Linked DNA regions of Daphnia pulex. The protein of the gene in region 1 binds, or shares a complex with, the protein of each later gene. Links are inferred from orthologs where the notes say so. Each region holds a gene or a part of one and is shown on either strand. Other genes may lie near its edges.

Evidence for each region.
Region 2: DNA polymerase alpha catalytic subunit-like (region 1) and DNA primase large subunit-like share a complex: the UniProt entries of both Drosophila melanogaster proteins name them as parts of the alpha DNA polymerase complex. The link is inferred for Daphnia pulex from reciprocal best matches to the Drosophila melanogaster genes PolA1 and Prim2.

What each region holds. Positions count from the first base shown.
Region 1 is NC_060022.1:1,987,485-1,992,502, reverse strand, and holds the start of DNA polymerase alpha catalytic subunit-like, read right to left. Parts: upstream 3,400-5,018; 5' UTR 3,206-3,399; coding exon 3,166-3,205; intron 3,101-3,165; coding exon 2,912-3,100; intron 2,848-2,911; coding exon 2,666-2,847; intron 2,589-2,665; coding exon 2,464-2,588; intron 2,388-2,463; coding exon 2,309-2,387; intron 2,251-2,308; coding exon 2,134-2,250; intron 2,047-2,133; coding exon 1,913-2,046; intron 1,843-1,912; coding exon 1,719-1,842; intron 1,662-1,718; coding exon 1,497-1,661; intron 1,389-1,496; coding exon 1,023-1,388; intron 953-1,022; coding exon 748-952; intron 685-747; coding exon 413-684; intron 353-412; coding exon 239-352; intron 180-238; coding exon 1-179. Other genes in the region: putative zinc finger protein 66, read left to right, coding at 3,721-4,320, 4,418-4,691, 4,759-4,841, 4,903-4,998. UniProt on the Drosophila melanogaster protein: Catalytic subunit of the DNA polymerase alpha complex (also known as the alpha DNA polymerase-primase complex) which plays an essential role in the initiation of DNA synthesis.
Region 2 is NC_060018.1:6,169,929-6,174,988, forward strand, and holds DNA primase large subunit-like, read right to left. Parts: upstream 3,138-5,060; 5' UTR 2,979-3,137; coding exon 2,825-2,978; intron 2,760-2,824; coding exon 2,422-2,759; intron 2,351-2,421; coding exon 2,120-2,350; intron 2,050-2,119; coding exon 1,900-2,049; intron 1,827-1,899; coding exon 1,644-1,826; intron 1,575-1,643; coding exon 1,379-1,574; intron 1,314-1,378; coding exon 1,015-1,313; 3' UTR 603-1,014; downstream 1-602. Other genes in the region: b(0,+)-type amino acid transporter 1-like, read left to right, coding at 1-42; fucose-1-phosphate guanylyltransferase-like, read left to right, coding at 3,843-3,903, 3,994-4,239, 4,323-4,517, 4,591-4,674, 4,748-4,882, 4,947-5,060. UniProt on the Drosophila melanogaster protein: Regulatory subunit of the DNA primase complex and component of the DNA polymerase alpha complex (also known as the alpha DNA polymerase-primase complex) which play an essential role in the initiation of DNA synthesis.

The DNA.
Region 1 (5,018 bases):
GCAATCGAAGTAATTTGCAAAGCTAAGGGAAGGACGTTTAATTCATACATCAATCTTAGTGTGTTCGCGCCATCTTGCATAGTAATGGCTATCATTCCCAACAGACTGGTTGAAGTCGAGTACATCTTTTTAACAGAATCTGAACTCAAATCTGGGCGAACTCCGTTTAAATGTAAAACCTTATTGAACAAGACAATGCATTAATTGAGATGTATAAGGTGTGGTTCAATTATCAAACCTGTTGACACAGCGTTTCGAGGTCGTAGCTCCTTGCGCGTATAAGTTCTTTTGCCGAAATCTTCACATCACACACCAAACGCCCACTCATGACAAGATGACTGCGACTGACACCCTTTAAATTTTTTTATTATTATTATTCTTACTTGAGTGTTAATCTAATGTCTAAGCAAACCTTAGACATAGGCATATTGGTGCGACGTAGTCGGCCCAGACGAGACCACTGATCTACTTTGTTCTGGGTGAAACGATGGAGAAGTATGTCCAAGTCGTAGGAAGCTACATCGTGCCCGACAATTACATCGGGGTCGATTTTGTTAATTTTGGCCAGAAAAAGATTAAGCAGGGCTCGTTCGTTCTCGGCTAGTTCTATTTTCGTTAGTTTTGTCGTTTTCATGGTATCGCGATGATCTAGTGGCCAAGGTTCTTCAGATGGACGGCCTACAACTACGAAAATTGATTTTTTTAAACATGTATCTTCATTCAATCGTTTCCATAATTGTAGCTTACGACAAAAATGCTGTTGAAACGGAGGTTGAGGAGCAGCACGGTCTACATGAAATTCGTTTTGTATCAAACAACTGATGGCGACAATTTCCACTTGCTGAGTGCGATTGTTGACGACAGTGCGCAAATTAAGCGCCATTACAGCCAATGGAGGCGGCGCTTCTCTTTTATCATCTAACTCAATTTGATCCATGTTAGAAACAAACGCCTGAATACAAAATAAAAATCATATTAATTAATTTTCGATTTTGATTTCGTTAAAAAAATATTTTCTATACCTCCACTTTGCACCAGCTCACATGCGGGTTGGCCTTCTGGGGGTTCTTGATGTTTAGCCAACAAGGCCCTTTAACGCGTTTTTCCAACAAAAAGTTTTCCAATGCCGAAGTATTGGCTCCAAAGACGTGGCTGAATGTTGCACCTTTCAAATTCGTAGGCAAGGAATGTTCAGCAGAGTATTTCACTTCAAGATATTCGCTCTCGCGAGGAATGCTCGGTGGTTCGAATCCATATTTTTTCAATACACGCCGTGATTTGAACTGCAAAATTTTGTAGCGATCTGCTACCCGCGTATTAAATTCCTCGTATACATCCATAAAATTAACCGGAGTTCCCGTGTCCTGGCCAGTACGCTGATCGACAACCTGATGAAAAAGGAAAGCGACAAATGTTCCGTACATGAATTTATACAAATGATATTGGCAAGTTGAGTTTTTGCCAAAAGTTTTCAGGTTAGATAAAGATGTGTATACCGTATCACGTGGAAGTACATATATATGCTTCTCGATATTTTTTACGGAAACGCAGCAACTGACATACGCTTTAGCCGACTCTATGAAAATTTTCCCAAAAAGAAACACGGTGCCAGGTTGCATATACGGATCTTCGTAAGCATCGAACCAGTACATGCGCAAAAACTATTTAACATAATTGTTAGTTGAAACTGCAAAATAACAGTCAAGTATTTATAGAACCTGTTCTCCATCTTCCCCTTGAGTCAAGGGAAGCTCATTACTCCCTAAATCCAAAACAGCTACACTCTGGTTAACGTCAACGTTATTTTTAATGGTTTCCCATCCCGAAGTAAGATCGAATTCGCTAAAAATACATCAGCAAGTAGAAAGAATGTATCTAAAATAAATATTAGATTGGCGGAAATGCGACAAACCTGATGGTAGGAGTTTGCTTCAGTTCTTGAAGATCAATACTTTCTTCACAGGGAGTATAAGATGTCGTAATTGAGGCTTCACTTGATTGCGTATTGATTTCTGGTTGCGAATCGAACTGGTCGATGTCCATAGGCTGGCAGCACATAAAAGTGAAGGTAGTATGGAACGGTTTATTATTAGTATTAAATAGATTAGAAAAGAAATAAAATAATATACGTACTCCATCCATTATAAAAGGATTATCATCGCATAATGAATTTGAATCTTCGATTGATGCACAGTCGTAGGTATTGTCTTCTACATTGGATGCCCCTCTGCCAAAAGGCAGACGTTTGGGCTGCAGGGAATAGGACGGAGTTTACAGGGGAAAATTAAAGAAAAAATTTTTCTGATACCTCTGCTTTCAATAGCCTCGATGCCACTGAAGTGCTGGTTATCCGTGGGATCGAAGTTGGTGTACGACTTATCAACGATCTAATCATTTCAAAAAAATTTAATCAAAACACAGAATCAAAACATGATCTAATTTAGTTCTAATAGTTTTTGGTACCCAGAAGTAATGGTCTTCTTTTTAAGAGTGGAAACTGATTGCCTCAAGGGAGCATTTGAAGGGGTGGAATTCAGTTCTTGCATGATGTCTCCTAAAATGTCATCATCTTTAGTTTTGGCATCTTTCTAAAAAGTGAAATCAGTAATAAAAGTAATAAACCTTTGAAATTCCATAAAACATTCATATAAGTGCTAAAACAGACCTCTTTGTTTTTAGAGGACATGCCAATTAGCATATTTTTAATGTTATTTTTTTTTCCAGGAACTCCTTTTGACAAGTCCTTCTTCTTATGACCCCTGGCTGCTCCTTTGGCTTGGGCCATATTATCATCATCCAGATCATCATCAAACACTTCCCTACCATCTTCAACATATCCACTTCCATCTGATTTTTAAAATATTTTGTGAACAAGGCATTTTATAATTTAATTTTGGCTTTACTCTATTACCATCATCAATAATCCAATCATCTTCTTGTCGTCTTTGAACTCGTTTGGAGTACTCTCTTTCATCAACCTCTTCATAAACATTATCAACTTCCGTCAAGGTAACTTTGTTTTTAGTACCCTTTAAGTCTTTTAGCTTTTGAAAGGCTGCAAATTTCCCTTCACGGTCTTGTTTAGTTCTCCGTGTACGACCTGAAAATCAATCAGGTGGTAAATACAAATAACACGAAAATGAATCAGATGTAAAGGTAACTCACCACTTTCCTTTTCTTGACTAATTTCCTTGTCATCAGCCATGACAATGGTTTAAAAATAACACAAAATAAAAAAACACTCAATAAATGACGAGTAAAATTTCTAATGCAGGTCTTGAAAATTTTGAAACGATCAGGAAAGACGAAAATCAACCGATAAAAGCTATAATGCAGGAACACTGGACAAAAGGCACAGTTGTCTACACATAAATGGCCGAATTAGTCTTTCAGCTCTTTCCCGCGTAATTCTCTAATGGCGCGGCGTTGCCGAATAAAAATTGCTGGCTCACAATTCGAAGTTTACAAATGTTATAAACTTATAAAGATAATTAGTAACTGTGTTTGAATTACATTTTTGTTAAAGTTATAAATCAAAAGTATGATGTAATCTGTAAATCAAAAATCAAAAATTAATTATTTTTACATAGTACAAAGTCATCTATTGAGTAATGAATGAAACAGCTGTTGGCTACCAACTTTGGAAGAAAAATCCAAAGCTAAGCCAAAATAAACAGTGTCGTAATTTGTAATAGGGGACAAAATCTTCCATCAATCAAGATGGGAAGTTGTGAGGGATTAGAGATTCTCGGTGTTTTGAAAACAGCACAAGAAGGTAAACAAATGGTTTTGCAGCTAAAACCAAGTATTGAAACCACTTGGGAACACTGTGGATTTTGCGACTTCAAACTGGATTCTGATATAGATAAACTACAATCATCGAGAGAAACTGAACACTCGCATGCAATACAGGGAGTATTTTCTTTCATTCCAAGCAAAAATCAATGGACTCTCACTTTTTCCAATTGTGATAAAGAGGAACAACATCAACATGTAGGAAAACCTTCACCAACATGTGAAGTAATCAAGAATGACATCACAATAAACAGGCAAAAGAATTTACAACTGCAGTATGAAGTAGATGGGAAGGTATTTGAATTAAGAAGCACATTCTCAGCTAAAAAGCACAGAAATGTGGAGCCATCCAATAACAATTTTGCCACTTCAAACAAGTCAATAACACAGCCAACCAAAGCAATTGAATTTGTCATTGAAAACAAGAAATACTCTACTTCGTCTGTTAATACCAAGGCATTTGAAGAAGCAGTTGTTGTTGAGGAAGAAAGATCTACCCTTGAAGCCTCACTGGAACTTCTTCAGGTTGGAGTGAATTGAATTCCTTTACCTCCACAAATTTTATTCAATATAAAGATTTCAACTTACAAAAAATTTAAAAATTTAATTTTTAAAAATATAGGTAAAACTAATGGACAAGTGTATTGTTCCAGACCAAATTGGTTGTGGACCAGATACTTCCACCTTTTTGCAAAATATGAGAGAATTGGCAAAACTTCTAACTCCCTCTGGTCAGAACCCATTTAAGTGTGATCAATGTGAAGAGGAAATGACCTCCTACTTCCCATATGTCGAACATGTTTTTAAGCACTTCGGAACTCGACCTTACATCTGTAACGTGTGTCAAGCATCTTTTCAGACAAGGGCTGTTATGAGACATCACCTTGATATGCACGGTAATTTCCATCTTGCATTACTAAAATAATTCATATTTGCTCATAAAGTAATAACCAAATTTTTTAGGCGGGAAAGCGCCTTTTGAGTGCGAGTTTTGCGGGAAGAAATTTCGGAATTCTTGTCACATGAAACAACACCGAATGCGTCACGTAAATAATAAAGTATTAATAAATTATTGCGACGATAAATAATACTTAATTATTAATTCAGACCGGAGAACGACCTCACAATTGCCCCTACTGTGAAAAGACGTTCGCTCACAAAAACGTGCTAAAGATACATTTACAAGTGCATACTGGGGAGAAGGTTGTTTGGTTACATCAATA
Region 2 (5,060 bases), on another chromosome or scaffold:
TTGCTGGAAGTGGCTCCGTCAACGTCTATGGCGGAAGACTAACGTGTTACCGCAACGATCAAGTAAGCGATGACAAACCGAAAAATGTCCGTGTATAGGTCAACCACTTTAGGTGGCGGTATTATTACGTGTACATTATTGTTACTCCCGGCCATGTGTTAAAACCTTGTGTTGGTACGATGATTGCCATGCAATCTACATATTAAAAAATGGTCGTCTTTCCCTTCTCCTCAGTCATCCCTTTTTTCATAATTGGTATCATGCTGAAACGATGAGCTTGAGGAGATTTTACAATTTGATCGAAATTTACCAAAAGACACAAAGTTTGTATTGTTAATTTAGAATGTTTTTTTTTTTGCATATACACAAAAACCATAGTACTATTACTTTTCTAGATCGTTCAATTTCTCCCCAATGTGGCGAGATTATTTCAAAACAGGGATTCGTTAATTAGACTTTCTTAAAAGTTTTTATCCCGCAGCTTCCGTGTACTAAAAACATCAAAGTCACTGAATTGTAAACTTCAGCGTTTAGTGACTGTGAAATTTTGTACAGCATGCATACCGAAAAGTAAAATACACAAGTGCCAATCACGAAGTATGTCTCTCTCTATTATTCTATTGTTCCAAAAGTTATTTTTGACGATTAGGAAAAAGCACACCAACCTCAAAAAGTACTTTGAGCGGACGCAAGTTTCCCTTTCAAATAATGCACCAAAACTTTCTTTTCGGATGAAACTTTGAGTTTACAAAATTCAATTACGCAAAGTTTCAGGGATACATTTTAGATAAGAAATGATATACATCTGATGCCGTGGGAAAGATATTCAAGTTAAGTTCAAACGCGCCTTAACATACGATCTCTACGATTTTGTTACAAACTTCTAAAAGGCAAGCTTATTCAGTTGGGGAATCTTATTGATCAACCGAATGCAGTGCGCAATACTTCTAGCTAGATACAATTTATCGATAAAACCCTTTGTACGGCTTTCAAGTAAAAGTTGATTTAAACTATTTAGTTGAAATCATCATCCATATCAATTGCTGCTAAAACGGATTCGCTGAGAACCTCATTTTCATTTGTTTCAAGTTTCTCTACTTTAGCTGGAAGAGTAGCACGAATGGTCTGTACCTTATTCGCTCCCTTGATTTTCTCCTTCACTTCACCGTTGAGGATCTTTTGGCTTTCGATAAAATACTGGTTTGGGTGCTGGATACCACTATCAATCTCGGTGTTGTGCGTGGCTTCAAAGTACCGCTGGCAGGCAATCTGGTAATGATGGCGTGTCACTAGATCGACTATTTCTTGAATCGCTAGAAGGGCACCAAAACAAATTAAATTACGTGATCAAAGACATGCATATGAAATTAATTACTACCTGGCTGAGGAACACGATTCATTGTCATTTTCTGTCGAAGGACGGCAGCATCAAAGTGTCTGAACGGACAACCGTGATTCTCACCCGGACCTACGCTGGCAGTAATGATTTTGATGCAGCTTTGAGGTGCGTAATTGATTCTTTTTCCTTCCTTGCCGTAATTGTGGCGAATATTGTATGCGTATTGCTTTTCAAACTAAAGGAAATAGGGAAATGTAAGGAGAAGTTTTGATGAAACTTTGATCCTCGGTGGAGGTTTACCAACCTTATCCATATCCATATTTTTGGAGAACTCCTCCCTCCAAAACTTCAATGAATTTTCCAAGCTAAGTCCGATTCCTTTGACAAAAAGTCCATACTGCATACGTCCGCCGTGTTTTAAATGATGAGTAGAACGCAATGTCTCGTGTAAATGTCTCATACAGAGTGGGAAAGATTGTTTTGACAACTGCAAATCATACATTTTAATGATTTACTATTTTTGTTTTTATAAAGCAAGCACGGAAATTTGTTGGTCTTACCCCATCAATCATTTCTGGTGTTACAGCGGCACCAGAAGATTTATTTTGTAGAGAGTTAAAATCTTGACCGGTATATCGTTTATCAAAGTCATTCAGTAAGCGACGGATTCGATGATCGTCCTCTAGCTCTGGTAGTGAACGCATAGTAAGCTTCAATCCAATAAAAAAAATATCTTTAAATAAGTTATTCAGTGAATATTAAAAAATTATTTTCTTTTACCGCCATAGCAAGTGATAAATGAGAGCGGAACATAGCTGTGATTATGGAAACGAGGTCCTCGCTTGGAATGTATGCAAATCCGGCTTGCAAGTATACTTTGCGATGGCGAACTAAATCTAAAGCCTCTGTAAAGGGAACCTTGTAATATTCCACTGCATCAACTTTATTGGCATTAAATTGGGCAGCATGTATAAGTTTAGTCAATATCTTCTTTTTTTCTTCCTCTGGAATCTGTAAAATGTTTGGTGAAATATAATTAAATAAGTAATAATTTGGTGAATATTTGCAATATCTCTACATACGGGTAGAAAATTCATTTTGTTTTCTTTCATAAATGCCCTGATATCTTCTGAACTTTCCATCGAAAATCTAAAGCGGAAGAGATCAGTTTCCTGAGCAATGAACCAACGCCTGTACTCTTCAGTCCTGCAATATGCAAGTCTCATCAAGAAGTGAGAAACATGATCTTTCTGTCGTGTTTTTGAAATGATTTCATCCATCTTATCATCTTTGATACTTGAGCTCAGTTGATACCAACTGTTCAAGTTCTGCTTTTGTAAATCATTTTTCAGGGCAGTCTTCCAATCATCAGAGAATCTGGCATTTTTACTCAGATTGACACGCTCTATTGTCCTAAGAACTGTTGATAAAAATTTGAAGTAATTACGGAGGTAATTAATAAGAAGTTATGACCAATTATTATACCTTTGAGACGTTCGACAGCCCAATCTTCAAGTTCTTGCAAACCGATGGTTTCACTGGGAGGTACGGAATATAGTTGCAGAGAATGAGGATATTCACTTCTTAGCTTCATAGAATTTTTTATAGTTCGCCGAACTGTGTTGCGTTGAAATTCCATTTTTAAAAGTAACTATTTCCCTCGGAATTTATTCAACAAAATTTTTTTTCTACCAAGTTTACTGCGCGGTTAACACTTAACATAAAGCAGAGTAGCAGACGGTAAATGAAACAACAAAAGATCTCTTTTCGCGCTCAAACTAAAGCAACGGTGATGCCAGATATAAAATTGGCGAAAAAAAAAGGATTCCAAATTGATTGCAAGTTGCATGCAAATGCAACCGCTCTAAAATAAATTCGAAGACTTGCGAACTTGCTAGATACAAATCATGCATATTAAATAGCTTTAAAGTTATTCAAAGTTTTTATTAATTAGAATTTTGCAAGGATTGCAGGAAATCTAATCTTTGCCTCACCCAATTCATTGTCTCACGCAGCTGCGGGCTTGCGACGACTGTAATTAAATTTTGGACCATAAATAATTAAGTGCGAATGCCTCTATGAAAATGAAAGAGTTCGCTAATTGCAGTATGTCCATGGTATGTCTATAAGAGTTCGTTGTTTTGCAATTCAAACTAACCACACGGGACACGAGACAGACGACACATTACCTGTGATATGAAAATGATTACTACTTTTCGCTTTTTTCGTCAAAAATTAAAACATATTTAATTCCAGAAATCTGTATCAGTAAATAACTTCGTTTCCCAAAGGTTTAGGCTCAGAATCATATCCGAAGTCCGATAAATTACCCGTGTTATCTTTCTCTAACACCCTCCAGGGGTCTCTGAATTCCCATGTTTTGAATACGTCAATAAACATCTGTGTTTTTACCTGAAATATGAAATTTGGACTGTTTAAAGTGTTTACGTGGCAAAGTTACTAAGCCTACGTCGTCCTGGAAAATGCTACAACAGTCACAAAAATGGAACGAATCCAGAAGTACATGGTTCAGTTAGCGGAAAACTTTAACAAAACATCTTTAGGTTAGTTTTTAACAAGTAAAAACTTCATCCATCACACAAATTATCACAAGTCAGTGAGATTGTTTGACATTTTACCTTTTATCTGTTTAGACGATGGTTTTTGGGATTGTGTAGTCATATCTGCCGGAGATGAAGAACAAAAAGAATGTTTCAAACAGCAAATTGATGAGAAACTGGAAAATGGAGAAATACCAAGGGCTACTAAATATTTAGTCATTGCTGATTGTCCTGGATATGCTTTGGGGTCAGGTGGATCTACCTTTCATATTCTGAAACATTTAAAAAAACTTTTTGCCAATGATCTATTTGAGATGAAAATTTGGATTAGTCATGCTGGTAGGAATTGATGTTATAGGCCTACTTACATGTTTCAGTTAATACTATTTTTTTTATTTCTTTAAAAAATATTTTTATTTTAGGGGGATCTAGTAAAAGATTACCAAATTTAAGCTGTACTGGAAAGTTATTTTGTCCATTGCCACTAGAAGTTGAAGGAAAAGCAATAACACTTCTAAATTTAAAATTTATTATTACTTCACCTTTTCTTAAACTGATGAAAAATGGAGGAATATTTATTTGTGCTTCTGATGATATAGAAACTTTTTGTTTAGAAGGTAATTGTTTAATAATTCTTCTTTCTTTTTTTCATTTGTCCTTTTTGGTATTACATAATAATTTATCTCTCAGGTCTTGAAAGTCTTGAAGAAAAGTTTAACCAACTAGATGAAGATGGAATTGTAGCCATTGGTCATCCATCCACTATTGCAATAGGTAGGAGCTCCTAGATCATAATTTAGAAATTATTCAAAAAAATTAAAATTAGTATTTCCATTCTGAAAATTAGGAAATACGCATGGTGTGTACGTGCTTCCAGAGTGGTGTAGAAATGAGGAGAATTGTAGGCTAAGCCCTTGCCTTGAAGTTTTACAGAAACCGAATTATGTCACTATGGAAACAAAAAAGGCTTTATTTAAATTTGGTGAGAATTTAAGTCAGATTCAAGTTGCGCTTTATCGCGCTTTACAAAAAAATCTTTTCTGAAGGCCATAATGAAGAGGAAAGAGTATATACCGACAGCATGTTTTGGTGCCGACCAGGACTCGTGAGGAAAATGGTGGCGTTTGCTGAGGAATGTGAGGATCTCTACCGCAACGAAA